7 linked regions of the Macaca mulatta genome follow. Each later gene encodes a partner of the first gene's protein in a complex. Links are inferred from orthologs where the notes say so. Each region holds a gene or a part of one and is shown in the gene's direction. Other genes may lie near its edges. The genes, in order: RUVBL2, ASDURF, PFDN6, UXT, BRD8, POLR2E and ANP32E.

Evidence for each region.
Region 2: RUVBL2 (region 1) and ASDURF share a complex: the UniProt entries of both Homo sapiens proteins name them as parts of the PAQosome complex. The link is inferred for Macaca mulatta from reciprocal best matches to the Homo sapiens genes RUVBL2 and ASDURF.
Region 3: RUVBL2 (region 1) and PFDN6 share a complex: the UniProt entries of both Homo sapiens proteins name them as parts of the PAQosome complex. The link is inferred for Macaca mulatta from reciprocal best matches to the Homo sapiens genes RUVBL2 and PFDN6.
Region 4: RUVBL2 (region 1) and UXT share a complex: the UniProt entries of both Homo sapiens proteins name them as parts of the PAQosome complex. The link is inferred for Macaca mulatta from reciprocal best matches to the Homo sapiens genes RUVBL2 and UXT.
Region 5: RUVBL2 (region 1) and BRD8 share a complex: the UniProt entries of both Homo sapiens proteins name them as parts of the nuA4-related complex. The link is inferred for Macaca mulatta from reciprocal best matches to the Homo sapiens genes RUVBL2 and BRD8.
Region 6: RUVBL2 (region 1) and POLR2E share a complex: the UniProt entries of both Homo sapiens proteins name them as parts of the PAQosome complex. The link is inferred for Macaca mulatta from reciprocal best matches to the Homo sapiens genes RUVBL2 and POLR2E.
Region 7: RUVBL2 (region 1) and ANP32E share a complex: the UniProt entries of both Homo sapiens proteins name them as parts of the SWR1-like complex. The link is inferred for Macaca mulatta from reciprocal best matches to the Homo sapiens genes RUVBL2 and ANP32E.

Annotation. Positions count from the first base shown.
Region 1 is NC_133424.1:61,470,578-61,473,380, forward strand, and holds the end of RUVBL2 (ruvB-like 2), read left to right. Parts: intron 1-863; coding exon 864-983; coding exon of another isoform or gene 984-1,002; intron 1,003-1,374; coding exon of another isoform or gene 1,375-1,400; coding exon 1,401-1,530; intron 1,531-1,952; coding exon 1,953-2,067; intron 2,068-2,195; coding exon 2,196-2,221; 3' UTR 2,222-2,303; downstream 2,304-2,803. Other genes in the region: LHB (lutropin subunit beta), read right to left, coding at 2,444-2,686. UniProt on the Homo sapiens protein: Possesses single-stranded DNA-stimulated ATPase and ATP-dependent DNA helicase (5' to 3') activity; hexamerization is thought to be critical for ATP hydrolysis and adjacent subunits in the ring-like structure contribute to the ATPase activity.
Region 2 is NC_133417.1:94,654,492-94,657,977, forward strand, and holds the end of ASDURF (ASDURF protein), read left to right. Parts: intron 1-1,136; coding exon 1,137-1,212; intron 1,213-1,763; coding exon 1,764-1,834; 3' UTR 1,835-1,855; downstream 1,856-3,486. Other genes in the region: ASNSD1 (asparagine synthetase domain-containing protein 1), read left to right, coding at 1,856-3,319.
Region 3 is NC_133409.1:148,999,055-149,002,133, reverse strand, and holds PFDN6 (prefoldin subunit 6), read left to right. Parts: upstream 1-1,280; 5' UTR 1,281-1,310; exon of another isoform or gene 1,311-1,523; 5' UTR 1,524-1,538; coding exon 1,539-1,602; intron 1,603-1,829; coding exon 1,830-1,900; intron 1,901-1,981; coding exon 1,982-2,106; intron 2,107-2,366; coding exon 2,367-2,496; 3' UTR 2,497-2,579; downstream 2,580-3,079. Other genes in the region: WDR46 (WD repeat-containing protein 46), read right to left, coding at 37-149, 293-373, 477-686, 784-861. UniProt on the Homo sapiens protein: Binds specifically to cytosolic chaperonin (c-CPN) and transfers target proteins to it. Binds to nascent polypeptide chain and promotes folding in an environment in which there are many competing pathways for nonnative proteins.
Region 4 is NC_133426.1:47,680,317-47,684,386, reverse strand, and holds the start of UXT (protein UXT), read left to right. Parts: upstream 1-1,270; 5' UTR 1,271-1,314; coding exon of another isoform or gene 1,315-1,526; coding exon 1,527-1,624; exon of another isoform or gene 1,625-1,636; intron 1,637-1,670; exon of another isoform or gene 1,671-2,054; intron 2,055-2,584; coding exon 2,585-2,666; intron 2,667-2,808; coding exon 2,809-2,876; intron 2,877-3,158; coding exon 3,159-3,266; intron 3,267-3,471; exon of another isoform or gene 3,472-3,638; intron 3,639-4,070. Other genes in the region: uncharacterized protein LOC144338585, read right to left, coding at 1,315-1,528. UniProt on the Homo sapiens protein: Involved in gene transcription regulation. Acts in concert with the corepressor URI1 to regulate androgen receptor AR-mediated transcription. Together with URI1, associates with chromatin to the NKX3-1 promoter region.
Region 5 is NC_133411.1:147,018,802-147,022,301, reverse strand, and holds part of BRD8 (bromodomain-containing protein 8), read left to right. Parts: coding exon 1-312; intron 313-612; coding exon 613-706; intron 707-892; coding exon 893-939; intron 940-1,678; coding exon 1,679-1,893; intron 1,894-2,946; coding exon 2,947-3,039; intron 3,040-3,228; coding exon 3,229-3,297; intron 3,298-3,500. UniProt on the Homo sapiens protein: May act as a coactivator during transcriptional activation by hormone-activated nuclear receptors (NR). Isoform 2 stimulates transcriptional activation by AR/DHTR, ESR1/NR3A1, RXRA/NR2B1 and THRB/ERBA2.
Region 6 is NC_133424.1:1,752,873-1,756,823, reverse strand, and holds the start of POLR2E (DNA-directed RNA polymerases I, II, and III subunit RPABC1), read left to right. Parts: upstream 1-1,151; 5' UTR 1,152-1,196; coding exon 1,197-1,253; intron 1,254-2,454; coding exon 2,455-2,629; intron 2,630-3,951. UniProt on the Homo sapiens protein: DNA-dependent RNA polymerase catalyzes the transcription of DNA into RNA using the four ribonucleoside triphosphates as substrates.
Region 7 is NC_133406.1:116,901,952-116,906,095, forward strand, and holds the start of ANP32E (acidic leucine-rich nuclear phosphoprotein 32 family member E), read left to right. Parts: upstream 1-1,344; 5' UTR 1,345-1,680; coding exon 1,681-1,734; intron 1,735-2,068; exon of another isoform or gene 2,069-2,411; intron 2,412-2,628; exon of another isoform or gene 2,629-2,909; intron 2,910-4,144. UniProt on the Homo sapiens protein: Histone chaperone that specifically mediates the genome-wide removal of histone H2A.Z/H2AZ1 from the nucleosome: removes H2A.Z/H2AZ1 from its normal sites of deposition, especially from enhancer and insulator regions.

The DNA of each region.
Region 1 (2,803 bases):
CAGAGGCCGGGCGCGGTGGCTGAAGCCTGTAATCCCAGCACTTTGGGAGGCCGAGATGGGCGGATCACGAGGTCGGGAGATCGAGACCATCCTGGCTAATACGGTGAAACCCCGTCTCTACTAAAAAAATACAAAAACTAGCCGGGCGAGGTGGTGGGCGCCTGTAGTCCCAGCTACTCGGGAGGCTGAGGCAGGAGAATGGCGTGAACCCGGGAGGCGGAGCTTGCAGTGAGCTGAGATCCGGCCACTGCACTCCAGCCTGGGCGACAGAGCGAGACTCCGTCTCAAAAAAAAAAAAAAAAAAAAAAAATAACAGAAACACACAAATGAAAACACACATAGACCCAGATTATATATATATTGATTGACGAAAATACTGTGAGTAAAGGCTCAAGAGAGCCTAACCCTGTATTCCACTAGGAGCAGTGGCTCAGGATCGGCTAATTGGAGTGTTCACGGTGACTCTCTAGAACCTCACTGCGGTGAATAAGGGGAACTGACTGTATACCCTGGTACCAGCCCTGGGCGGGCCCCGCTGCAACAGGGAACAAGACAGGTTCTGTCCCCTCCTTTGTGAAGCTTCATGTCGAGCACGGGAGTGGGACCTTGATCCAGTAATCCTCGAGGCAGAGAGCTAGCTTAAAGCAGCCCAGCTCTGCGGAAAGGTGTCCTTGGGGGACTGACAGTTGTGGAAGGCTGCGTCATCAGGGGGTGATGTCATCATGTGACAGGAGACACGAGCTAAAGGTTAAGTGGTGTTGGGCCCACTGAGTGGGTGGTGATGGGAGGTGGGAGTGTTTCCAGCAAAGGGAATGAAAAGGGAACATCCCCCTGACAGCCCCCTCTTTCTGCCTCTTCCTCAGAATCCGGGGCACCAGCTACCAGAGCCCCCACGGCATCCCCATAGACCTGCTGGACCGGCTGCTTATCGTCTCCACCACCCCCTACAGCGAGAAAGACACGAAGCAGATCCTCCGCATCCGGTGCGGGCAGGACCAGACCGTGCGCCTGGGAGGCGGGGCTGGGGTCTACCCTGTTTGACAAATGCCGACACTGAGGTCTGGCGGACTGGCATGGTGGCTGGGCCTGCAAGAGAGAGGGCTGATCTGGCACCCAGACAGTGGCCGCCGATCCGGGAGCAGGAGCCATGGTGGGAAAGGGAGGCGAGGTACCCGTGACCGGTGTGGGGGCCAGCGCCCTGGGCGTGGTCAGGAGGCCTAGGTTTTAGATCCAGCCCAGCCCCTGTCTCCGTGGCTCTTCTAGCCTCAGCATTCTATGGTTCTAAGATGCAGGCGCCACATATTCCCAGTGGGGAAGGACCAGAGGGTTGCTGTGGCCACTTCTGCTGCAGTCAGAGGCTGGGCCCTGGCTGAGCCACCCCCGTCCCCCACTGCTTGCAGGTGCGAGGAGGAAGATGTGGAGATGAGTGAGGACGCCTACACGGTGCTGACCCGCATCGGGCTGGAGACGTCACTGCGCTACGCCATCCAGCTCATCACGGCTGCAAGCCTGGTGTGCCGGAAACGCAAGGTCAGCCTGCCGAATTAGCCAGCAGGGCCAGATGGCGGCAGTGAGTGACGCACTACTTCAGGGGCTGCCAGGGTTCCAATTTCAACCTAGGATGTACATTTTCAGAGGCAGGGAATTTTCATCCCTCAAGTTGTCTTCTGTATCTCCCCGCCTGGCCTACAGTAGGTGCTCAGTAAATCTCTGTTGACTGTAAGTAGATGCTGTTAGGTCCACCTTACAGATAAAGAAACTGAGGAATGAAGAGGCTGGGCCCACAACCAGGAGATGGCCAGGCAGGTTTTGAACCCAGGCGATCTGGCCAGAATGCCCTCCCCTCACATGCCACCCTCTGCTGCCTAGAGCATGGAGGTGACATATGCTGGGGTCTGTGCCGTGAGCCTCACGGAGAGGGGCCCAACTCAGGACCCGCCCTCCCCCTCCAGGGTACAGAAGTGCAGGTGGATGACATCAAGCGGGTCTACTCACTCTTCCTGGACGAGTCCCGCTCCACGCAGTACATGAAGGAGTACCAGGACGCCTTCCTCTTCAATGAACTCAGTAAGAATCCCTACCCTGCACCTGCACTGCCAGAGCCAACCTCGGGGAGGAAGAGGGAGCTCGGCCTAGAAGGCTCAGGCCCTGCCCCCTGGGCCACACTGACCATGTGGCCTTCCTTCTCCCCACAGAAGGTGAGACCATGGACACCTCCTGAGCTGGATGTCATCCCCTGTCCCCACCCTGTTTTCTACCAGAGTTCTGACACTGTGACTTTGTATAAAATGGTTTGAAGCTGCACCCACTCTGTGTGTGGTTGCCCTGAGCCCACAGAAAGACACCTCCAGAGTGCGCACTGAGAAGCCTTTATTGCGGGAGGAACGGGGTGTCTGCTGGCTCCAGGAGTCAGGATGGACTTGGAGGGCTGGGGGGAGGGTCTTTAGAGGAAGAGGAGGCCTGGGAGTTGGGGGTGGTCACAAGTCAAAGGGTGGTCCTTGGGACCCCCGCAGTCAGAGGTGCTGCGGTGGCAGGGTCCACAACGACAGCTGAGAGCCACAGGGAAGGAGACCACGGGGTCCACGCCAGGCAGGCAGCCAGGGAGCTGGATGGAGTCGAAGCGCACCTCGCGGTAGGTGCACACCACCTGGGGCAGGGGCAGCAGGGCCGCCTGCAGCACCCGCATCTGGAGGATGTGTGGATAGGGGAGTGAGCATGTGCCTGGGGCCAGCGCCTCCGCTGACCTCCCAAGCTGCCTCCAAAGGTCCCAGACTCAGGAGTCCAGGAAGCCCTCTGTTCCCGC
Region 2 (3,486 bases), on another chromosome or scaffold:
AGTGTCAAATTACATTTTAACATTCAGGAACAAATGAGTTTGAGCTCTTAAAAGTATTTTAAAGATTATGTAATAACTGGTTAGATATTTCTGATGTTGTCACTTATGGAATATTAGAAGTTGAAGCACATAAAAAAATTAGCTGGGTGCCTGCCTGTACTTCCAGCTACTCGGGAGGCCGAGGCACAAGAATCTCTTGAACCTGGGAGGCAGAGGTTGCAGTGAACTGAGCGCATCACTGCACTCCAGCCTAGGCGACAGAGCAGAACTCCATCTCAAAAAAAAAAAAAAAAAAAAAGTTGAGGCAGAATTAATACAGACTTTCTCTAGAGGGCAAATTGAGGGCAAATCTCAACAACTCAAACTATAACACTTTGACCCAGCAGTTCCATTTATAGTAGTTGATACTTAGGAGAGAATCATGGGAGTTCACGAAGATTTAGTTACAAAGATATTCATCACAACGTTGATTTACAATAGCAAAGAGTTGGTAGCACTTTAAATGTTTAGTATTTGAAGCGAGCAAATAAACTGTAATATATTATACCTGTATAGCAGTAGGTATAATTTGGTCGCCGTAGCTTGCTTTGCCATTTTTGTGTTCTTGTAAAATAACACTTACTGATAAGAAAAAGTGTTCTCCGGTGAAACCCCGTCTCTACTAAAAATACAAAAAATTAGCCGGGCGCGGTTGTGGGCGCCTGTAGTCCCAGCTACTCGGGAGGCTGAGGCAGGAGAATGGCGTGAACCCGGGAGGCGGAGCTTGCAGTGAGCCGAGATCGCGCCACTGCACTCCAGCCTGGGCGACAGAGCAAGACTCCGTCTCAAAAAAAAAAAAAAAGAAAAAGTGTTCTCAATATATTGCTCATTGATAAAAGCATAAATCTGCAGGTACAGTAAGAACATTTTTTGTTAAAATGGTATATGGAGAGAAAATAGTTTCATTTCAGTAGTAGCACTTTCTGGTAGTTGGGCAATGGATGACTTTTATTTGTGTTTTTGCTTATCTGTGTTTGCTAAAGTATAGTACTAAATATATATTACTGAAGTTCAAGAATTAGTGATAATAGGGTTAAGGATTTTAACATCTACTTTTTAGATCAAAATTTGATTTTAGCCTAAATTATGTTTTCCAGAAAGTATATAGGCAGCAACAGAACAGCAATATATTCTTTCTTGCAGACCGAACAGAAATGCTATCTGAGAGCAAAAGTAAGTTTTTTCTTTTTTGTGGCTTTTGGGGGGTGCCTAAATTATACTCATCTGAATGTTAAAATATATATCAAAAGATTAATGCAGCAGTTTGGTTTTCTTCAAGTTAGCCTTCCAAAGATGAGTCAACAGTTTAAATAAATATATATATATATATATATCATAATATGTGTTAGCAATAGTTATTAACATGTGCTTTAGAGTTTCAAACAGGCCTAAGTATGACAAACAATTACCACTTTCTACCTTTGTGACTTTGGGTGAAATACTTTAAACCTCCAAGGTATTGTGGGATCTAAATAAGATGCTGTGTAAAAAGTGCTTAGCCAAGTGCTTGGGCCAAAATGAGCACCCGGCAAAACAGAAGCTATTTTTGTAAAAGATAAACATTCTTTGTTAGTAGCCTGTTGTTAATTATCATTGGCACTGGCACAGTGTGTGTGTTTATATGGTTTGATTTTGGTAAACAGCTTGTTTTGCCCTCTGAATTGCTAGGTAAAAGTCCAAGAATTTTTATGTTATTTAATATTTATTCTCCTTCCCTGCAACAGGTATATTGGATGAACTGAAAAAAGAATACCAAGAAATAGAAAACTTAGAGAAGACCAAAATCAAGAAATAGTCAACCTAATTTCACGTAACAATGTGTGGCATTTGTTGTTCTGTAAACTTTTCTGCTGAGCATTTCAGTCAAGATTTAAAAGAGGACTTACTATATAATCTTAAACAGCGGGGACCCAATAGTAGTAAACAATTGTTCAAGTCTGATGTTAACTACCAGTGTTTATTTTCTGGTCACGTCCTACACTTGAGGGGTGTTTTGACTACCCAGCCTGTGGAAGATGAAAGAGGCAATGTGTTTCTGTGGAATGGAGAAATTTTTAGTGGAATAAAGGTTGAAGCTGAAGAGAATGATACTCAAATTTTGTTTAATTATCTTTCCTCCTGTAAGAATGAATCTGAGATTTTGTCACTCTTCTCAGAAGTGCAAGGTCCCTGGTCATTTATATATTATCAAGCATCTAGTCATTATTTATGGTTTGGTAGGGATTTTTTTGGTCGCCGTAGCTTGCTTTGGCATTTTAGTAATTTGGGCAAGAGTTTCTGCCTCTCTTCAGTTGGCACCAAAACATCTGGATTGGCAAATCAGTGGCAAGAAGTTCCAGCATCTGGACTTTTCCGAATTGATCTTAAGTCTACTGCCATTTCCAGATGCATTATTTTACAACTGTATCCTTGGAAATATATTTCTAGGGAGAATATTATTGAAGAAAATGTTAATAGCCTGAGTCAAATTTCAGCAGACTTACCAGCATTTGTATCCGTGGTAGCAAATGAAGCCAAACTGTATCTTGAAAAACCTGTTGTTCCTTTAAATATGATGTTGCCACAAGCTGCATTGGAGACTCATTGCAGTAATATTTCCAATGTGCCACCTACAAGAGAGACACTTCAGGTCTTTCTTACTGATGTACACATAAAGGAAGTAATTCAGCAGTTCATTGATGTCTTGAGTGTAGCAGTCAAGAAACGTGTCTTGTGTTTACCTAGGGGTGAAAACCTGACAGCAAATGAAGTTTCGAAAATGTGTGATAGGAAAGCAAATGTTGCAATCCTGTTTTCTGGGGGCATTGATTCCATGGTTATTGCAACCCTTGCTGACCGTCATATTCCTTTAGATGAACCAATTGATCTTCTTAATGTAGCTTTCATAGCTGAAGAAAAGACCATGCCAACTAGCTTTAACAAAGAAAGGAATAAACAGAAAAATAAATGTGAAATATCTTCTGAAGAATTCTCTAAAGATGATGCTGCTGCTGATGACGACAGTCCTGATAAATATGTCAGTGTACCAGATAGAATCACAGGAAGGGCGGGACTAAAGGAACTAAAAGCTGTTAGCCCTTCCCGAATTTGGAATTTTGTTGAAATTAATGTTTCTATGGAAGAACTGCAGAAATTAAGAAGGACTCGAATATGTCACTTAATTCAGCCGTTGGATACAGTTTTGGATGATAGCATTGGCTGTGCAGTCTGGTTTGCTTCTAGAGGAATTGGTTGGTTAGTGGCCCAAGATGGAGTGAAATCCTATCAGAGCAGTGCAAAGGTATGACACTGTTTCTTCTGATAATTTCTGAGACCTATTTTTGACCCTTAAAGCTTGTAGCATTTTGATTGTAAGAATATAGCATATTTTAGTTGCATTTAAACTACAACACAACATATGTGACTTCTTTAGAATTGGATATATTTTACTATTTTCTGTCTTTATCT
Region 3 (3,079 bases), on another chromosome or scaffold:
GGCAAGGATTGGGGGTCCAGATTAGGGCCCACTCACCCCGGTTCCTCAGCAAGCAGCAGCTCAGAACGAGCAGCTTTGATACTTGTTTCCTCTTCCTCAGCTTCAGCCACCTCAAGTCGGCTTCGAGTTTTGGCTTTAGAACGTGGTAGCTATAACATTGTTGGTGGGGAGGAGTGGCAGAAGAACCATAGGATAAGTGGGGTCACAGGAGAGCTACCTAGCCCAGCCTCCATTCAACTCACCCAGACACTCCCTGCCTCCAACACTTCCCAACTCTCCGGCTGGACCTCACCTTTCGGGATTTGTCAATACGACAGAACTTCTGGACCACCTCCACAGGGACGGGGGCGGGGCCTGGGAATGGATCTTGGGCCTAGGGGAAAGGAGAACGCAGTTAGTAGACAGCCTTGGGTTGACCCCAACCCTTTCAAAGCACAAGGCGGCCTGCCTCGCCACCCATTAGGTTCCACGTTCACCCCGGACAAGCTCCGCTGGGACTCCGGGTTCTTCCACTCTCGGGGTTTCTTCGGGACCTGAGGCTGCTTAGAGATCCGAGACTTCTTTAATATGTGAGCATTTTTTGGTCTCTGAGGACGGAGCTCCCGATTCTTCTTGTTACAAGGAGGCCCTGGAGAGGCTCCGTCTGTGGTCGGAACAGTCTCTTCCTCCCAGTATCGCCGCGGTTTCTACAAGCAGATCAGGAACTCTGATACTCCGCACCCACGCCCCGCCCCCCCGACCCCGCAGCAAAAAACTTCCTTTCCCACCCAGGGAGGCCGATACCTTTCTCTTGGTCTGAAGTTTGTCTTTCTTGGGCGGGACATCCCTGCCCGGCTTGGGGGCTGTCTCCATCTCGCCCATCCGAACGGCGATCCACGTGCAAAACTCCTCTCAGCTGCCCCACAGTCGGCTTGAAAACTCCCGGAAGCCCTCTATCCTTCATCCAATCAGTAGCGTACCAGGTCTGAAGCTCTCTAGGCGCCATCTTGAGTGAGGGCACACTCTCCTTAGAGGGGCGGAAGAGCTCTTGGCACCTTATCGGGAGCGGCAGCTTATGCAAGAGTGACTTACAAAAGAAAGGCAGGCCCGGGACCAGGGGCTAAGTAGCGGTGCGGTTTCTTTTTCCGGGTTAGTTTCCCCATCTTGCCTAAAAATATCCGAGTCCAGTCTTTGTAGCAGAACTCCATTCGCTAAACATGTCAGAACTACACTTCCCATCAAGGGTCAGAAAGAAACTTCCGGCGCAGTCTTTTCCCGGCATTCCTCGTTTACTTCCGGGTTTATTACTACTGAAAGCAGAACGTGAATAGGTTAGGATTTCGGTTGAGAGGCTTACGGTCTTGCGTTTCGCCCACCATATCCTGGGGACGGGGTGGAGTCGATACCCAGGACCGGGGGGAGGTGGCGGTGCCCCTCAGGGCTGCCTCTCAAGAGTGCTATCATTTCCGCAGGCGAGATCAGAAAAGTGAGCTCAGGTACCTTCCAGAGAGTGAGACGCAGCGCCCTTGTCTCGCTCCCCGTAGGCTTTCATCCCCGCCATGGCGGAGCTGATCCAGAAGAAGCTGCAGGGAGAAGTGGAGAAATATCAACAGCTACAGAAGGGTAAGGGAGCAGGGTCGGTATGGCCTCGCCCAATGCACTCACAACCCAAAGCCATTACCGAGATAAGGTTTGTTGCCCCATCTGGGCCCTTGCGTGCAGAGACTTTCCCGCTTCAGTACTCTTCCCTATTCACTGACCCGCTGCCCCCATCTTTTTCTGCTTCCTCAGATCCATATCCACCTGACTAGGATTGATGTTTCTAATCTTGCCTTTCCTCTTATCCCCAGACTTGAGTAAATCCATGTCGGGGAGGCAGAAACTTGAAGCACAACTAACAGAAAATAATATCGTGAAAGAGGTGAGGGACTGGGATTTGTGGGGCGAGGAGGGACCTGTACTAGCCATGGTTCTGATCACGTATGTCCCATCCCTCCATCAGGAACTGGCCCTGCTGGATGGGTCCAACGTGGTCTTTAAACTTCTGGGTCCGGTGCTAGTCAAACAGGAGCTGGGGGAGGCTCGGGCCACAGTAGGGAAGAGGCTGGACTATATCACAGCTGAAATGTGAGTCTTTATTCCACCACTGTGTGCTGCACCCTGTGATGCAGTGAACCATTGGAGTAGAGGTGTTGAACCATTGCAGAACAGCTCTCCATAGTGGCCCCTAGTCCTCCAGTTCCTCCAACCCCTTCCTTCCCTTTTAACCCCCCTTCTCCCTTCCCTAATCTCAAGTTTTCCACCTATCTCTTTCTTGCGTTTAGCACCCTCCTTAGTAAGTCCTACTAATTTCTCCCTTTCTACTTGTCTCCCTTGTCTCTCTTTAGTAAGCGATATGAATCCCAGCTCCGGGATCTTGAGCGGCAGTCAGAGCAACAGAGGGAGACCCTTGCTCAGCTGCAGCAGGAGTTCCAGCGGGCCCAGGCGGCAAAGGCAGGGGCTCCTGGCAAGGCCTGACCCCTTGGTGGGGGGAGGGGAGGGGAGGGAATGAGGCAGCTCTAGCATCTATACTGTAGCTAATAAAATGTAAAAACACCTGGCTCCGTTTCCTGACCAGGCGCTTCTGTCATATCCCCACAGTCCCTTCCACCTTCACACACACCACCTGTATTACCCCCTCAGGTTCAAACTCTTGCACTTGGAACTTCTTTGTGGCACGATGTTCTTTCTTTCTTGAAAGTGAAATCCTAAATGTCCTCAAACCTACTTCTTGCCTGTATATACAACCCTTAACTTTCCCTCATCTTGGTTGGCATGATTATTTTGGAAGGGCATTTACAACATAGCGTATTACTAGGAATGTCAGTTCAATTGAAAAAGAATTCACAGTTCTCTAACCTGAGGCCCCAGGATGAAATGTGGTTACCCTCTTTGCCAGCAGCCCTGGCATCTCTATTGGTACTTTTCAGCCTCTGTCTTCCTAGAATTTGCTTGAATGTAGCTTAAACTGACTTAAAATCCCAGCACGTAATGCTTTGTAGTGTATAAGTCCTCCCAAGTTTATATGTTGTCCATAAAGTTGTTCTGCCATTTCCTTGTC
Region 4 (4,070 bases), on another chromosome or scaffold:
ATATGAAACACAAATTATCTGGGAAGACTTCCTTGGTAGGGGTGGGTGCTCTAAGCTCTATAGATGGAAATAGCATTTGGAGATTCATCCCATGGTCTGGATTCTTCTCCAGGCAAAGGCCCATTCTTGCTGGGTTATAAGTTCTTGTTTGAAAATCTAACCTGAATTTAAGGCATTTCAGTGATAGACTGGATTAAGAAAATGTGGCACATATACACCATGGAATACTATGCAGCCATAAAAAAGGATGAGTTCGTGTCCTTTGTAGGGACATGGATGCAGCTGGAAACCATCATTTTCAGCAAACTATCACAAGAACAGAAAACCAAACACTGCATGTTCTCACTCATAGGTGGGAACCGAACAATGAGATCACTTGGACACAGGAAGGGTAACATCACACATCGGGGCCTATTGTGGGGAGGGGGGAGGGGGGAGGGATATCATTAGGAGATATACCTAATGAGTTAATGGGTGCAGCACACCAACATGGCACATGTATACATATGTAACAAACCTGCACGTTGTGTGCATGTACCCTGGAACTTAAAGTATAATTTTTTTAAAAAAAATCTAAACTGAAAAACAAATTCACTCAGTCACTCTAGTGCATAAGAATAAATTCACAAAAACCTTACCATTTAAATAAAAACATGGGAACTATGCCTAACTACAAGATGGCCAATATTCTGCAGAGGACTTCAGCCACCCTCTCCATTTGACTATCAAACGAGGTGATTAGATATAGTGCGTTGTCAATTTCCGCTTGAGCCTCAGTTATAGGTTGCAGGTACAGAGCTGGAGTTATCAAAGATGAATTTTAGAAAATCTGTCTCTGTTTAAAACCTTTTAAGTGCTCATACTCAGTCCCATTGCCAGGAGTGAAACCCAAACCTCCCGTATGACAAATCAATATCCAAGCCGACAGATCACACGGGATCTTCCTTATAGACCAGAACCATAGTCAATTCTTAGGTCCTTTTAAATATTAAACTCTTCACTTCCTCTCTCTACCTCTACCTGTGCGTCGCGCCTAACTTAGAACCGCCAAATCCCATTAAATCCCACCCTCACCAGCGACGCACGGTCTCCATAGGCTCCACGCGCCGCTTTTGCAGTCCCCCATTGGCCGGTTTATTGCCAGATGGCCTGCTCCCACGCCCTAGTCATCTTTGATCTCCTCGGATTCCGTGAAGCCCCGCCCTTCTCTTCTCCCCTTTGGCCCGTCTTCCCCAGCTGGCTATTTGGTTGGCCAGCGCGCTTGCCACTTACGTCATTCACCCGCGCCACCCGGAAGCCGCGGTTCCTACCAACCGTTTTTATTGCTGGCGGCCCTGAGGTAAAGGCCGCGCTTGGGTGTCCCTGGGTGGCCGGGTCCCCGAGTTGGGAGGGGCGGAAGGCTGAGCCCCCAGCTTGAGCCGGACAAGTCGATTCCCAGCGTTGAGAGGGTAGAGATGAACTGTGTGTGAGGCCAAACTGGAGCGGTCAACGTGGTCTTCCCCCTCCCCACTCCCCAGGAGCCCATCATGGCGACGCCCCCTAAGCGGCGGGCGGTGGAGGCCACGGGGGAGAAAGTACTGCGCTACGAGACCTTCATCAGTGACGTGCTGCAGCGGGACTTGCGGTGAGTGACAGTGCAGAGGGCGGGGCGTCTGGAACATTCCACGTGGTGGGTGGGGCGTTCAGAGTTAGGGCCAACCCTTTGGATTGGTGGGCGAGGCGTTCAGAGTCCGGCCCCGCGCTCCTTGGAGCGTGAAGTGGTGATGATATCCGGGGTGCAGTTTGGCTGGGACGTGGCGTTCATAGCAGGGGGCGTGTCAGCGCATGCGCGGCCTCCGATGTTTGACGGATTAGGGCTTGTTTTCTGGAGCCACAGTTCTCAGGTTCGAATCCTGGCTCGGCCATTCTTCATCCTTGTGAATACGTCATACCTCGCCTTTCTGTGCCCTATAAACTTCTCTGTGAAATGGGGAGTTTTCTGGAACCTTCCCCATGCAGTGGTTTTGAGTTTTTCATATGTCCCATCTTTGTAAATAATTTAGTAGCATGGATGCCTGAAACATAGTAGAGGTTCAATAAGTATGAAGAAATATTATTGCAATTTTTGTTAATCTAAGCAAGAAGTAAGGTGTTCAGAACTAGGACTATGAGCATCCTAAAAGGGATGGAGGATTTTTCTAGGGTGAGGATGGGACATTATGATTGGAGTTCAGTATTGGGAGTGTAGTAATAGTAATAATAGCTAACATGTAGAGAGTTTACCATTTGGTAGGCATTATTCTAGATGCTTTGAGTAAATGCTCATTTAATCCTAATGACTCTACAAGGTAATACTGTCATCTGCATTTTATAAATGGGGAAACCAAGTCCCAAACAGGTTCCTTACTTGCCAAAGCCACACATCTATAAAGGACAGAGCCCAGATCCAAACCCAGGCAGTCTGACCCAGAGCCCAAAATTAACTTGTACACTAAAAAGCCTTTTCAGCGTATGGTGACGTGAGAGTCTCAGAGGGTCATGATATGAGGTATACTAGGAGGAATGGGGCTGCCTATTGGTCACCATTGTACTTTCATCCCATCAGAAAGGTGCTGGACCATCGAGACAAGGTATATGAGCAGCTGGCCAAATACCTTCAACTGAGAAATGTCATTGAGCGACTCCAGGTAAAGACTATGGGGTTGGGTATCATTTTTTTGGTGTGTGTGGGTAAGGGAGGGAAATGGGAAGAGAGACTCCAGAGCCAAACCTGTCACCTGACCTAAGAGTTCACCACTGACCCCTACCTCTTTTTCCCTGGCCCCACAGGAAGCTAAGCACTCGGAGTTATATATGCAGGTGGATTTGGGCTGTAACTTCTTCGTTGACACAGTGGTGTGAGTGTCTACCCGCCCCTCTGAGCCCACAGGGTTCAGCTTACCCCTTCCCTCATGCAACATATATTTTTTTGAGTATCTTCTATGTACCAGGCACTATACGAGGTTTATTATCCCAGTAGGATATAAGCTAGGCGCTGGGGATGTGACAGTGAATAAAATAGGACAAAATCCCTGCCTTCCCAGAGCCTCAATTTGGGGAAGGGTGGGGAGCAAAACATACACTCTGCTAAACAGTGATAAGGACTTCCCCCGCACTTCCTCTAACCTCTCTTTCCTCAGCCCAGATACTTCACGCATCTATGTGGCCCTGGGATATGGTTTTTTCCTGGAGTTGACACTGGCAGAAGCTCTCAAGTTCATTGATCGTAAGAGCTCTCTCCTCACAGAGTAAGTCCATTCCATGAGGATAGTGTGTAAAAATACCACCATTTCCAACACTCTTCTCACTTTCCCCATGGCTGCCTAGAATGATACTTAAGGACTCATCTCCCCTCCTCCTCAGAGCTGGGGCTGAAGAAATGTGGTTGCAAAGCCCATGTATAGCACATAATAAGCATTCAAAAAATGATCTTTGTATCGTTCATTCATGCAGACATTTATTGGGAATCTTCTGTATGCCAGGCACTGTGCTTAGCAGTGGGAATGCAGCAGTGAACAAGACAGAAGAGTTCCTTGAAGGCTTAAAATCTAGAAGGACTATACTGTTATACATAAATACAATTATGACCAGATCCATGAGGTCTCAGCCTGTTAGAGTTGGTAACAAGAAAACTAGTTACCTGTGATTTCACTTCCTGCTAATTTTACTATTCATTCACTGTGTTCCTGCCACACTGACCTTCACATGCTTCTTTCAGCACCCCAAGAATGATCCCACCCCAGGGCAATTGCCGTAGCTGTTCTCTCTGCCTGCACTGCCCTTTTCCCCAGTACCCACATGGCTTCCTTTCTCCTCACTCATCTCGCTTAAATGTCGCTTCCTCGATGAGGCCCTCTGTAACCTAACTTTAAAATCACAGCCCCTGGCATGCTTGATTCCCCTCCGTCTACTTTTTTTCCCTAACACTTATCACCCCCTAATATTTACTGTGTAATTTCTTGCTTTCTCATATTGTCTCCTCCAATTAGAATGTAAGTTTTACAAAGGGGGAGCTTTGGTTTATATCCCGGGTGACTAGAGTAGTACAAACA
Region 5 (3,500 bases), on another chromosome or scaffold:
CCTGCACCAGAAATGACAGTCAAGCAAGAGAGACTGGACTTTGAGGAAACTGAAAACAAGGGAATACATGAACTGGTGGACATCAGGGAGCCCAGTGCAGAGATCAAGGTGGAACCTGCAGAACCAGAATCAGTCATTTCAGGGGCTGAAATAGTAGCTGGAGTTGTTCCAGCCACAAGTATGGAGCCACCAGAACTCAGGAGTCAGGACTTAGATGAGGAACCGGGAAGTACTGCAACTGGAGAGATTGTTGAAGCAGATGTTGCCATTGGGAAAGGCGATGAGACTCCACTTACAAATGTGAAGACAGAGGTACTTAATAAAGATCAGGGGCTGGGGAGATGGAGGGTTATACCTTAAGTAAGAAGTGATAGCTTAGGTTTTTTGGTTTTCCAGTTGCATTCCTGAGTTCTGACATGTTTGATGGTCCAAAGCCCATAGGCTGTGATTAGTGTTATATATACTTATTCCTGTTAAGGTGACCATTGGAGTCACATTACATGAATAGGACTTAGAATTTCTTCTATGGTCTCATTATCATTGAAGAATAAAGTTGTGTGAGCTATAGTGATTTACCAGTACTTAGGGTGTTTTTTCTTTTCTGGTTTTCAGGCATCCCCTGAAAGCATGTTGTCTCCATCACATGGCTCAAATCCCATTGAAGATCCTTTAGAAGCAGAGACTCAGCACAAGTTCGAAATGTCAGGTAAATAAAGTCCTCTTTAACTAACTTGAAATCATTTGCTTTGGCTTCTGAGGGATTGTGGGTTGTGGGCAAGTAGAGGAGGTAGAACAGGTCAGCATGGAAAGGAGAGCTGCAGGGGATTATGGTCCATAGGAAGGGGAAGGCTAAGGTGGAAAAATCTTCAGGTAGTCTTTCTCTCCTCTGCAGACTCATTGAAAGAAGAATCAGGGACTATTTTTGGAAGCCAGATAAAGGTATTTCAGACTTTTCTTTATTCCTCTTGCCATGTGATTAGATTTCCCTATAGCACTACTTTTTAATGAATTTCAGTAAAGTCGCATTTTTATTCTCTGATAAGAGACTGGTATGGAGTTGCGTGGGGAAAAGCTGCAGTAGACAGGCATAATGGGAGTACTGTAGCAACAGGTGCCTCCCATATGAAACAGCTTGTGAATATCACAGTCCTTAAGAAGCCTTGATACACTTAGAGTGATTTGGAGTGAATAAGGATACCAGAACTAAGGAGAACATACAGGAATCCAGTTTATTAATTAGACTATCCAAAGAAAATCATCCAAAGTTTTCTTTTTAGAATTATTAAAGCAGTAGTAACAGAGACTTAAAGAATGCGATGTGAGCTTGCTCCATCAGATGAGACACAAAATAAAAATTATTTTTGATAACTTTGTATCCAGGGTCAGAGTTACTCTTGAACAAGGGGAAAGAAGGAACGCCTCTTAGCTTAGTCTTAAGTAAGTAGCTTTTTTTTTCTTTCTTTTTAAAAGATCCTGGGTATTATTCTTTGTCCAGGTTCTAAATTACTTAAGTCAGTGTCTTTAAGTAGATGGTAGTATAAGTGATAGACAGCTAAGTCAGGAAACAGCGTGAGGTCATTTCTAGAACTAATTCTAACCCAAAAGACAGAGCATGTTTAATGATGCTTTGCTGGATAGCTTTGCTTGCATTTATTGACTGGAGCATACTGTGTCTAAGGATGCCCCAGGTGAGGATGAGGAGGAAGATGGTGTCAGTGAAGCGGCCAGCCTAGAGGAGCCTAAGGAAGAGGATCAAGGAGAAGGTTATTTGTCAGAAATGGATAATGAACCTCCTGTGAGCGAGAGTGATGATGGCTTCAGCATACACAATGCTACACTGCAGTCACACACGCTGGCAGACTCCATCCCCAGCAGCCCTGCTTCTTCACAGTTGTGAGTATCTGAGATTCTTCCTTTGAGGCTAAGGCAGTGAAGGTGAGAAGGAGAGGATCTTTTCTTCCCCTCCCCTCCCCTCCCCTCCCCTCCCCTCCCCTCCCCTCCCCTCCCCTCCCCTCCCCTCCCCTCCACTCCCCTCCCCTCCCCTCCCCTCCTCTCTTCTCTCCTTCTTTCTTTCTTTCCTTCCTTCCTTTGTTGTTCTCACTCACCCATGCTGGAGGGCAGTGGCGCGATCTCAGCTCACTGCAACCTCCACTTCTCAGGCCCAAGCAATCCTTTCACCTCAGCCTCCTTAGTAGCTGGGACTACTGGCCTGCACCACCACACCCTACTAATTAAAAAAATTTTTTTTAGTAGAGACCAAGTTTTGCCATTTTACCCAGGCTGTTCTCAAACTCCTGAGCTCAACAGTTGCCTCGGCCTCCCAAAGTGCTGAGATTACAGGCATGAGCCACCATACGTGGTCTTTTTCTTTATTTTTAAATTTTTGTTTTTAAAAGATGTTCTTTTAAGAGACAGAATCTCCCTATGTGGTCCAGTCTGGTCTTGAACTCCTGACCTCAAGCAGTCTTCTTGCCTTGACATCCCAAAGCACTAGAATTAGAGGCATGAGCCACAATGCCTGGCCTGATCTTTTCTTTAGTGTTTCCCTTTTTTGGCCTGGAATAAACAGTTGACAAAAATTATTAGGGCTGGGCATGGTGGCTCACACCTGTAATCCCAACACTTTAGGAGGCTAAGGCAGGAGGATCGCTGGAACCCAGGACTTCGAGACCAGCCTGGGCAACACAGTGAGACCCTATCTCTACAAAAAAATTAAAAAATTAGCTGGGCATGGTGGTATGCACCTACAGTCCCAGCTACTTGGGAGGCTGAGGTGAGAGGATTGAGTCTGGGAGGTTGAGGGTGCAGTGAACATGATCACGCCACTGCACTCCAGCCTGGGGGACAGAGTGAGACCCTGTCTCTAAAAAAAAGAGATAATTTTATATATATATATATTTTTTTTTTTAACTTGTGCCTAGTGAAATTGCTGTATCTCTGTTTCAGCTCTGTCTGTAGCGAGGATCAGGAAGCTATTCAGGCACAGAAAATTTGGAAGAAAGCCATCATGCTTGTATGGAGAGCTGCAGCTAATCATAGGTGAGTGGGCTTTACCAGTCAGTAGGTTCATTTTCTCTTACTCTTCATTGTTGGTGACTGGAAAAAAGTCTGAGTAGGCTTCTGTGGAACTGCTGGTATTGGTTCTTACTATCTTCAGCTACTTAGAGTAAGTTCTCTCCCTGTTCTTCTGGAGAATGTCAGTAATTGCACCTTATTCCTTTTGGACAGGTATGCCAATGTCTTCCTGCAGCCTGTTACAGATGACATAGCACCTGGCTACCACAGCATTGTGCAGAGGTGAGCCATGATCCACTCAGCATGGTAACTTGCCTGAATTATAAGTTGTCCAGTCTTAGTGAAAGTTTTGCTTTAGATAGAAAGTTTAAAGCAAGTAAATTTATGGTTTTGCTATAAGGGGCACTAAGTACTAAACTGATGATTCCAGTGGCTGGATCACCACTGATAGTCTAAAAGAATAAATCCTCACCGGGAGTGGTGGC
Region 6 (3,951 bases), about 60 Mb from region 1:
TGACCTCATGATCCACCCACCTTGGCCTCCCAAAGTGCTGGGATTACAGGCATGAGCCACTGCGCCTGTCCTATTTATTTATTTATTTATTGAGACGGAGTCTCGCTCTGCGGCCCAGGCTGGAGTGCAGTGGCCGGATCTCGGCTCACTGCAAGCTCCGCCTCCCGGGTTCACGCCATTCTCCTGCGTCAGCCTCCCGAGTAGCTGAGACTACGGGCACCTGGCCCAGCTAATTTTTTGTATTTTTAGTAGAGATGGGGTTTCACCGTGTTAGCCAGGATGGTCTCGATCTCCTGATCTCGTGATCTGCCCACCTCAGCCTCCCAAAGTGCTCGGATTACAGGCATGAGCCACTGCGCCCAGTAACGTTATTTTACTAAATCCTGTCTCTGAATGCAAGGGATACCTGGCCTGTTTTTATTCACCATCACTGTAGGTTGCTGAGTAAATGCTGAATTAATGAATGCATCACTGAGTCAGTGACTGATTGCCTTCACACAGCGAGTGCTGGGCTGGGATCCTCCGTGAATCTGGGGAGGTGAGGTTTGCAAAGACAGGACGGATCTGGGGTGGGGAGATACCCAGGCTAGGCTGGCACTCAGGGGAGAGGACAGAGGTGAAGGGACTTAAAAAGCACCTAGAGATATGCCTAGCTCTACCTAAGACTCTCAGTTAACCGCCTAAAGTAGGGACACTTTTTGCCATTGCACAGGTAGGGAAACTGAGGCCCAAGGGCATTAACCCTGACCTGGCCTGGAGCCAACAGAGGAAACCCTGTACAGTTTGATGCACAAATATTTAAAGAGTTCCCACTAGGCTCCCCGACCGTCCCTAGGAGCCGAGCTGCCCCTTGACCCATTCCAGGCCTCAGTTTCCCCGCCCACACTTCGCCCCCGCCTCATGGGATTCTAAACTGTCGCCGCAACGTGGGAGTTGAACGGAAACTACAACTCCCAAGAGGCCGTGCAGCCAAAGACACACGAGAACTACGGAGGGAGAGTCTCGCGCAGCAAACTGCCGTTCTCGCAAGGCTCGGGCTGCCCTTGGCGCTGCCGATCCCGGAAGTTGCTGCATTCAGGCGTTCGCCGACGACAGCCCATCGCGGGGCGGGGTTACGTGGAGGGGGCCTGATTGGGAGTCGGCGCAGGCGCAGTCCGCGCGGGTTCTCGCAGGCAAAACGGGTGCGAGTGGCGGCGATGGACGACGAGGAGGAGACGTACCGGCTCTGGAAAATCCGCAAGACCATCATGCAGGTGAGCCGCGCGTGGTGTTGGGGGCGGGGGCGCGAGCAGCAGGTGCAGGGGCCCGAGGCGAGGTCGAGCTCGGCGTCTCCTCGTACTCCCGTCGCAGCAGCAGCGACGGAGGGCCCGGCCGACACGGGAGGCCCCGAGGCCGCCGGGGATCCCAGGCGCTGGGCCCGACCTGAGCCGGCAGCGGGGAAGGGAGGGGGTTTCGAGACGTCTGGGTGCGGGGCTTAGCGGTGGGCGGGCGGCTTGGGCTGGTGCGGCGCACATGGCGGCGAGAGGAGGAAGGTGCGAATGGGGACGGGGGGCGCCCCCAGACCCTGCCCCTCTCTGTGATTCAGCGTCGCCATTTGTCCTTGCGTCCTGAACCCCAGGGCGTCTCAGCATCCGAGGCTGGCGGAGTTGGTGGTTGGGAAGCAGCAGGCGAGCTGGGGCTTTCGATGGGGACGTGGAGCCCGGAACCCGTGCCTCGGGGTCTGAGACAGATGGAGGCCACTGGGCCGACTCCGGTTTGGAAACTGGGCAAAGGTCTGAGGGCCTGCGGTTCAGGGTCCTCCCTCAGCCGTTGGGGCCGTTTGGGAGCTTTTGTTTTGTCTTGCTTCCCCACCCCCTATGCCCTTGTCTTTAGCGAAGCCCCCCGCAGCCTGATTCTCCTTCCTCCGGGCCGCAAACATTGTCAGCCTGAAGTCACATTTGTTTCGGTCCCTGTCTTTTTTTTTTTTTTTTTTTTTTTTTTTTTTTTAAGAGACAAGCTCTCACTCTGTCGCCCAGGCTGCAGCGCAGTGGTGCAGTCATAGCTCACTGCATCCTTGAACTCCTGGCCTCAAGCAGCCCTCCTGCCTCGGCCTCCCTGAGCTCTGGGGTCGTGGACGTGACCCCCCACGCCCCGTCTTTGTCCCTGTCTTTAGGGTAGCTCTGCAAAGTGGTTTGGAGGGCTTTGCCCCCTGCCAGGTTCCTGTGAGGCTGGATAGACGGACGGTCTTGGTCAAGGCTGGACACCTCTGCGAGCCTCTCGGGATCACGCTGGTCCCATCCTGTGGTGTGGGGCTGTGGGGGCCAGGATGGCTGTCATGGGGCACACAGCGAGTGTTCATTCCGTTTGCTGTTCACCTCTGTCCTCTGCAGCAGCCGCAGGTCTGACTTCTGGGTCACGAGCTCTGGCCGCCTTCCTGTCTCTGCCCTGGGGTCAGCTGGTTCTTTCTCTCTGCAGCTGTGCCACGACCGTGGCTACCTAGTGACCCAGGACGAGCTTGACCAGACACTGGAGGAGTTCAAAGCCCAATTTGGAGACAAGCCGAGTGAGGGGCGGCCGCGGCGCACTGACCTCACGGTGCTGGTGGCCCACAACGATGACCCCACCGACCAGATGTTTGTGTTCTTTCCAGGTGAGCAGCGGGTCCCGGGGGAGTTCTGGTGGAGCCGCCCGAGCACCTGCTGAGGAGCCGGCCGCTAGCACCCACCCCCTCCCGCCTCGTGCCCAGCGTTTGATCCTCTGCCCAATCTGGGAGGAAAACTTCCCCTCCTCTTCCTTGCTGTGGGCGATGCCGTGGACCTCTGACCCCTCTCATGCGCAGCCTCTTTCTGGTTTCCCTCTCATCGGTCCCCTTTCTTCCTGCCAACCAGGAGAGTCCCATGGACCTCCCTACTCACCCGCAGCCCCTCATGACCTTTGCCCTACCTGTGTTCCTTGGCTCCCCCATCCTGGCCGTTGGGTGCACTTCCAGCTTCTTGGCCTGGCCCAGGAGGCCCCGTGTGGGTCAGCGCAGCCTCCTTGTGAGCTGTGGCCCCTGTCTGCCCCAGCCCATTCCTCTGCACCCCATGCCGCCTCTGCCTTGTCAGCGTCCGCTACTCATCCCTCGAGGTTGTGCTCAGGCCGCTTTTCCCGGGACCCCTGGGACCCTCGGTTTCAGCACCTGGACCGTGGAAGTCTCCCCACCTGTCTGCCCCCCCCCAGGATGGCTCTAGCGCCCTCAGTGGTTGGGGGACTACCAGCGCCTAGGGACACAGCCGCGTGCCCAGAATTAATCAGTGGGGTGGACGGAGCGTGTCTGCCAACCGGGTGATGCTACTGCTTTTTTTTTTTTGAAAGTCTCATTCTGTCACCCAGGTGGTGCAGTGGTGCCATTTCGGCTCGCTGCAGCCTCCACCTCCTGAGTTCAAAATTCTCCTGCCTCAGCTTCCTGAGTAGCTGAGACTGCAGGCACCCACCACCATACCTGGCTATTTTTTTTTTTTTTTGTATTTTTGGTCGAGATGGGGTTTCACCATGTTGGCCAGGCTGCTTTCAAACTCCTGACTTCAGGTGATCTGCCTGCCTCGGCCTCCCAAAGTGCTGGGATTACAGGCGTGAGCCACTGCGCCCGGTCTTCTTTTTTTTTTGAGGCTGAGTCTCTCTCTCTGTCACCCAGGCTGGAGTGCAGTGGCGCAATCTCGGCTCACTGCAACCTCCACCTCCTGGGTTGAAGCAATCCTCCCACCTCAGCCTCCCACAAAAAGCTAGGTTTACAGGCATACACCATCTCACCTGGCTACTTTTACTTTTTTTAGTAGTGTTTATTTGGTTTTTTGAGACGGAATCTCGCTCTGTCGCCCAGGTTAGAGTGCAATGGCACAATCTTGGCTCACTGCACGCTCCTTCTCCCGGGTTCACACCATTCTCCTGCCTTAGTCTCCAGAGTAGCTGGGACTACAGGTGCCCGCCACCACG
Region 7 (4,144 bases), on another chromosome or scaffold:
TATCTCAGCCTCTGGAGTAGCTGGGATTACAGGCGCCCGCCACCACACCCGGCTAGTATTTTGTACTTTTTGTAGAGACGAGGTTTCACCATATTAGTCAGGCTGGTCTCGAACTCCTGACCTCAGGTGATCCCACCGCCTTGGCCTTCCAAAGTGCTGGGATTACAGGTGTGAGCCACCACACCCGGCTAAAAGATAATTATTATCCCACTCTTTCATATCCCATCCCACATAGACAAACTGGTTTTTTTTTTTTTTTTTTTTCCTTCTTCTGTCCTGAACACTAAATTTTAATCCCCTGAGGGGGTGCACTGTTCCTGGAGGTACTGTAATACCAGGTGGATGCGTTAAGTGAACAAGAAAGCTCCTATTGCGTCTTCCTGCTCCCCAAATCCATTTAATATATTGGACTCGGATAGAAAATATATCAGATATTAAACTGTTAAGAACAGATCCTACACTTGATCTTAGCCAAAAGGCAGAGAAGAAGCGATAAACACTTTTAAAAGCACACTTTACCTACAGATTTCCATGGAAACCAACCAAAGGGAAATTAGAGAGGCATTGCTGTGCCATTTCTATGCTAATTAATGTCTGATTTTCATTAGGCCAGCGTTGTTTTTCCTCCAAGGTCTTAGTGTTTATTACAGCAAAAATTAACTCAGTAACAATTCCTCCAGGATAGTTTTATTTAAATATTATTAACTTACATACTTCACCCAACTGCTTTCAAAATTGTTGTCTTTTATAGTGTTAAACTACCATCTTTAAAATCTTGGCTCTGGCTCTGCATCACGGAAGGTCAGCCTCTGTGAAAAGCCTGACCCCAGCAGGACAATGCCACCAAGGCATCTTTTTAATGTGATGCGCACGTTGCTGTACACCTTGGCTGCAAAGCAGAGGCTGTGTTTTTAAAACGGCCAAGAGCCAGTGCATGCCGTGTGGTGAATTATCAGTATCGCAAGTTGGGCACGGAAGGATGCTTTCTCCCTTTTTAACACTAACAACAGAATAAAAAACCAAAAACTAAAAAACAAATCCAACAGACAACAAAACCGTCCGAGTGCCCAGGGAAAGCGCGCCAACTACATAAAGAAAAGTAGGGGGGGAACTGGGATTCAAAATCATTACTCCCGGACGTACACCCTCCTGGACCTATCAAAATTAACTGCGCCCTTGATCGTAGCCAATAGATACGGAGTTTCTGGTCCAGGTCCTCCCTGAAGACTGATAGACATTTACCTAGCCCAATGGAATAATGTGACGCTAAAGAATCAACCAATACGTTTGGGAGGTGGGTGGAGTGTAGGCCAGGGGGTTGGCGGTGCCGTGTCATGGAGGCTCAGTCTCTGAGCAGCCATTGAAGGGGAAGGAACTGCGGGTGTGTGTGTGTGTGCGTGTGTATGTGTGTGTGTATGTGTGTGCGCGCGTGCGTGCGTGTGAGTGCGCGCGCTAGTGTGTGGACAAGGAGGTGGGGGCAGCTGAGTTAGAGTCCCAACTCTTGGACTCCATTTGCTATTCTCTTCTTTCTCCCCCACACCTATCTGGTGGTAGTGGGCGTTTATATTTGCGTTCCTTTTCATTCATTTCTAAATCTCTTAAAAATTTTGGGTTGGGGGTATTGGGAAAGGCAGGAAAGGGAAAAGAAGGAGAGTAGTAGCTGAAGAGCAAGAGGAGGACATGGAGATGAAGAAGAAGATTAACCTGGAGTTAAGGAACAGAGCCCCGGAGGAGGTGAGATGACTCAGCCCCCACCCCTTCCCCATCAGTCGTGTATTCTGAGGATCGGATTTCTGGTGGTCCTGGGTGGGTGTGCGGGGATGGAGTAATAAGTTAGCCCCCGCCCCCCCGGTTTAGGGTTGGGGAAATGTTTAATTTTAAGTTTTAAATCATTAAAATCTTCTACTTAAAATGGCGAAGGGTTGAAGTTTCTAGGGGCGTTTTTGTGTGTGCATGGGGGCTTAGCTCCTTTCGGCTTTCATCGAGTCGGGCGTCCTGGCCTCGTGGGGGCGGGAAGCGGGCTGGTGGGGGCGCTCTGCCGCTTCGCTCCCGGCGCTCCTCCTCCTGAGGGCCAGCGGCGTGGGACGCGACCCCCCAGTCCCACTCGGCCCCTGCCGCAGCCATCGGCGCCTGAGAAGTTAGTCCAACTTTTCTGCAGTGCGGCCAACTCATCTTTTTGGGGGGTGGGCTCCCCCGGCCTCAAGGCCCTGGGCATCCGACGTCGCGACGGGCGCGGACTGGGGTCGCTTTCAAGGTCCGCGCACTGTCTGCTCCGGCGGCGCCCACTCCTCCGGGAAGCCGCGCGCGCTGCCCTCCGCCCTCCGCCCTCCGCCCTCCGCCCGGCGGAATCTGGGTCAGCCGCGGGTTCTCTGACCGCGGGCGAGTTTGGGGACTCGTCGCAGTGACCGGAGGTGGGGAGGGGACGGGAGGCGTAATCCGCTTCTTCCCCCGCCGTGTAAAGATATGTGGCACGTCGTGTGGCCGCAACTCTTGAATTTGATCCCTGGAGACGGTTTCACAGAACTCAACATAAGGGACGTAGTAGTTTCGTGCTTTAAAGATGGGTTCGCCGAAACTAAATGATGCGCTCTCACTGCTGTTGCCTTAGTTAAAGAGACGGCGTTGGGAGGGGCCACATGAGGCGGGGTCGCGGTCAACTTTTCGGGGGTCGGGCAGGAGGCGTTTCCGCCTCCTTTTCGCGGTTGCCTCCTCGGCCTCACCTACCCAGGGCGAAGGCGCGAGGGCAACGCGGGTTGGGAGGCGACCCCTTTTTTCCTTGGGGAGTCCCCGCCCGGTGTGGGGTTTCCCGTCAGTCGGAGCGGCAGGTCGCGAGAGCAGGGCTGGTGGCCAGCGGGGAGCCTCGCAGAGGAAAGCATCTGTCTTGCTGAAAGAAGCCCTAGAATTGGAATGTAAGGGAGTTGTCTGTAGCTGGATCGACCGATCGATAGAAGGATATAACTGGGGTGGTGTCTGTGCAGACCCGCATAGAGGATGAGCAGGGTCTGTCTAGGCTTTCGCGTACGGCGTGTGGAGTGGCAACTAAGACTTTTTTTTTTTTTTTTTAATAAATTTTTTTTTTTTTTGAGACGGAGTCTCGCTCTGTCACCCAGGCTGGAGTGCAGTGGCCGGATCTCAGCTCACTGCAAGCTCCGCCTCCCGGGTTCACGCCATTCTCCTGCCTCAGCCTCCCGAGTAGCTGGGACTATAGGCGCCCGCCACCTCGCCCGGCTAGTTTTTTTTTGTATTTTTTAGTAGAGACGGGGTTTCACCGTGTTAGCCAGGATGGTCTCGATCTCCTGACCTCGTGATCCGCCCGTCTCAGCCTCCCAAAGTGCTGGGATTACAGGCTTGAGCCACCGCGCCCGGCCTTTTTTTTTTTTTTAAGGTGCCTGTTTTCTGAAATTGGCAGGGGCCAGGGAGGGGAAACAGTTGCTTGCTATCAGGGTCATTCCGGAGAGATCTTGAAGTTTCTAGAACTTATTCTTAGGGGCTTCAGGGAAAAAACAAAATCAAACTTGAAAAGCTGTCTCTCACAAGCACACGTTTAGAATACTTTTTGGTGGCTTGGGTTGGAAAATTGAATCCCGCCCCCGCCTCCCCCGCCAGGATTCTTTGACTTAGTGATTGTAGTAATTTCTTTGCCAGTTTTGGGAGTGCAGGACGTTGCCTTTTTTCAGCTTCTTCCTCTGTGTTGTAATAACGGTCTCTTACATTTGTGTAGACAGTTTACAAAGCACTTTTCCCGTTTGTTATTTACTTTCCTCCTTACACACTTGTAAAGTGGATTGTGTTATTCTAGAATCCAAATTAGCAGACGGAGTCTCAGGACAGTGAAATGATTTACGCAAGTGCAGGAATTGGTTTTCTGACACCAAATCTAGTAGCCCCCACTCCTCAACTAAATGGGGAGTGTGAAGACGAACCAATTCACAGCCCTGCTGCAAACCAAGTGTGACTCTAGGCAAGCCATTCTTGTTCTCTGGGCCATAGCTTCCACTTCTCCAAAACGGAGCTCAAGATGCTCTCTCTGGCAACAGAAATAATTATGTCAAAGTCGTATTCAAATAGAGAAGGTGGCATTCCTTGTTGCCAAATTTTAGCCCTCGGATACCTCAAACAGGTTTTCACATCGGGTATAGAGAAC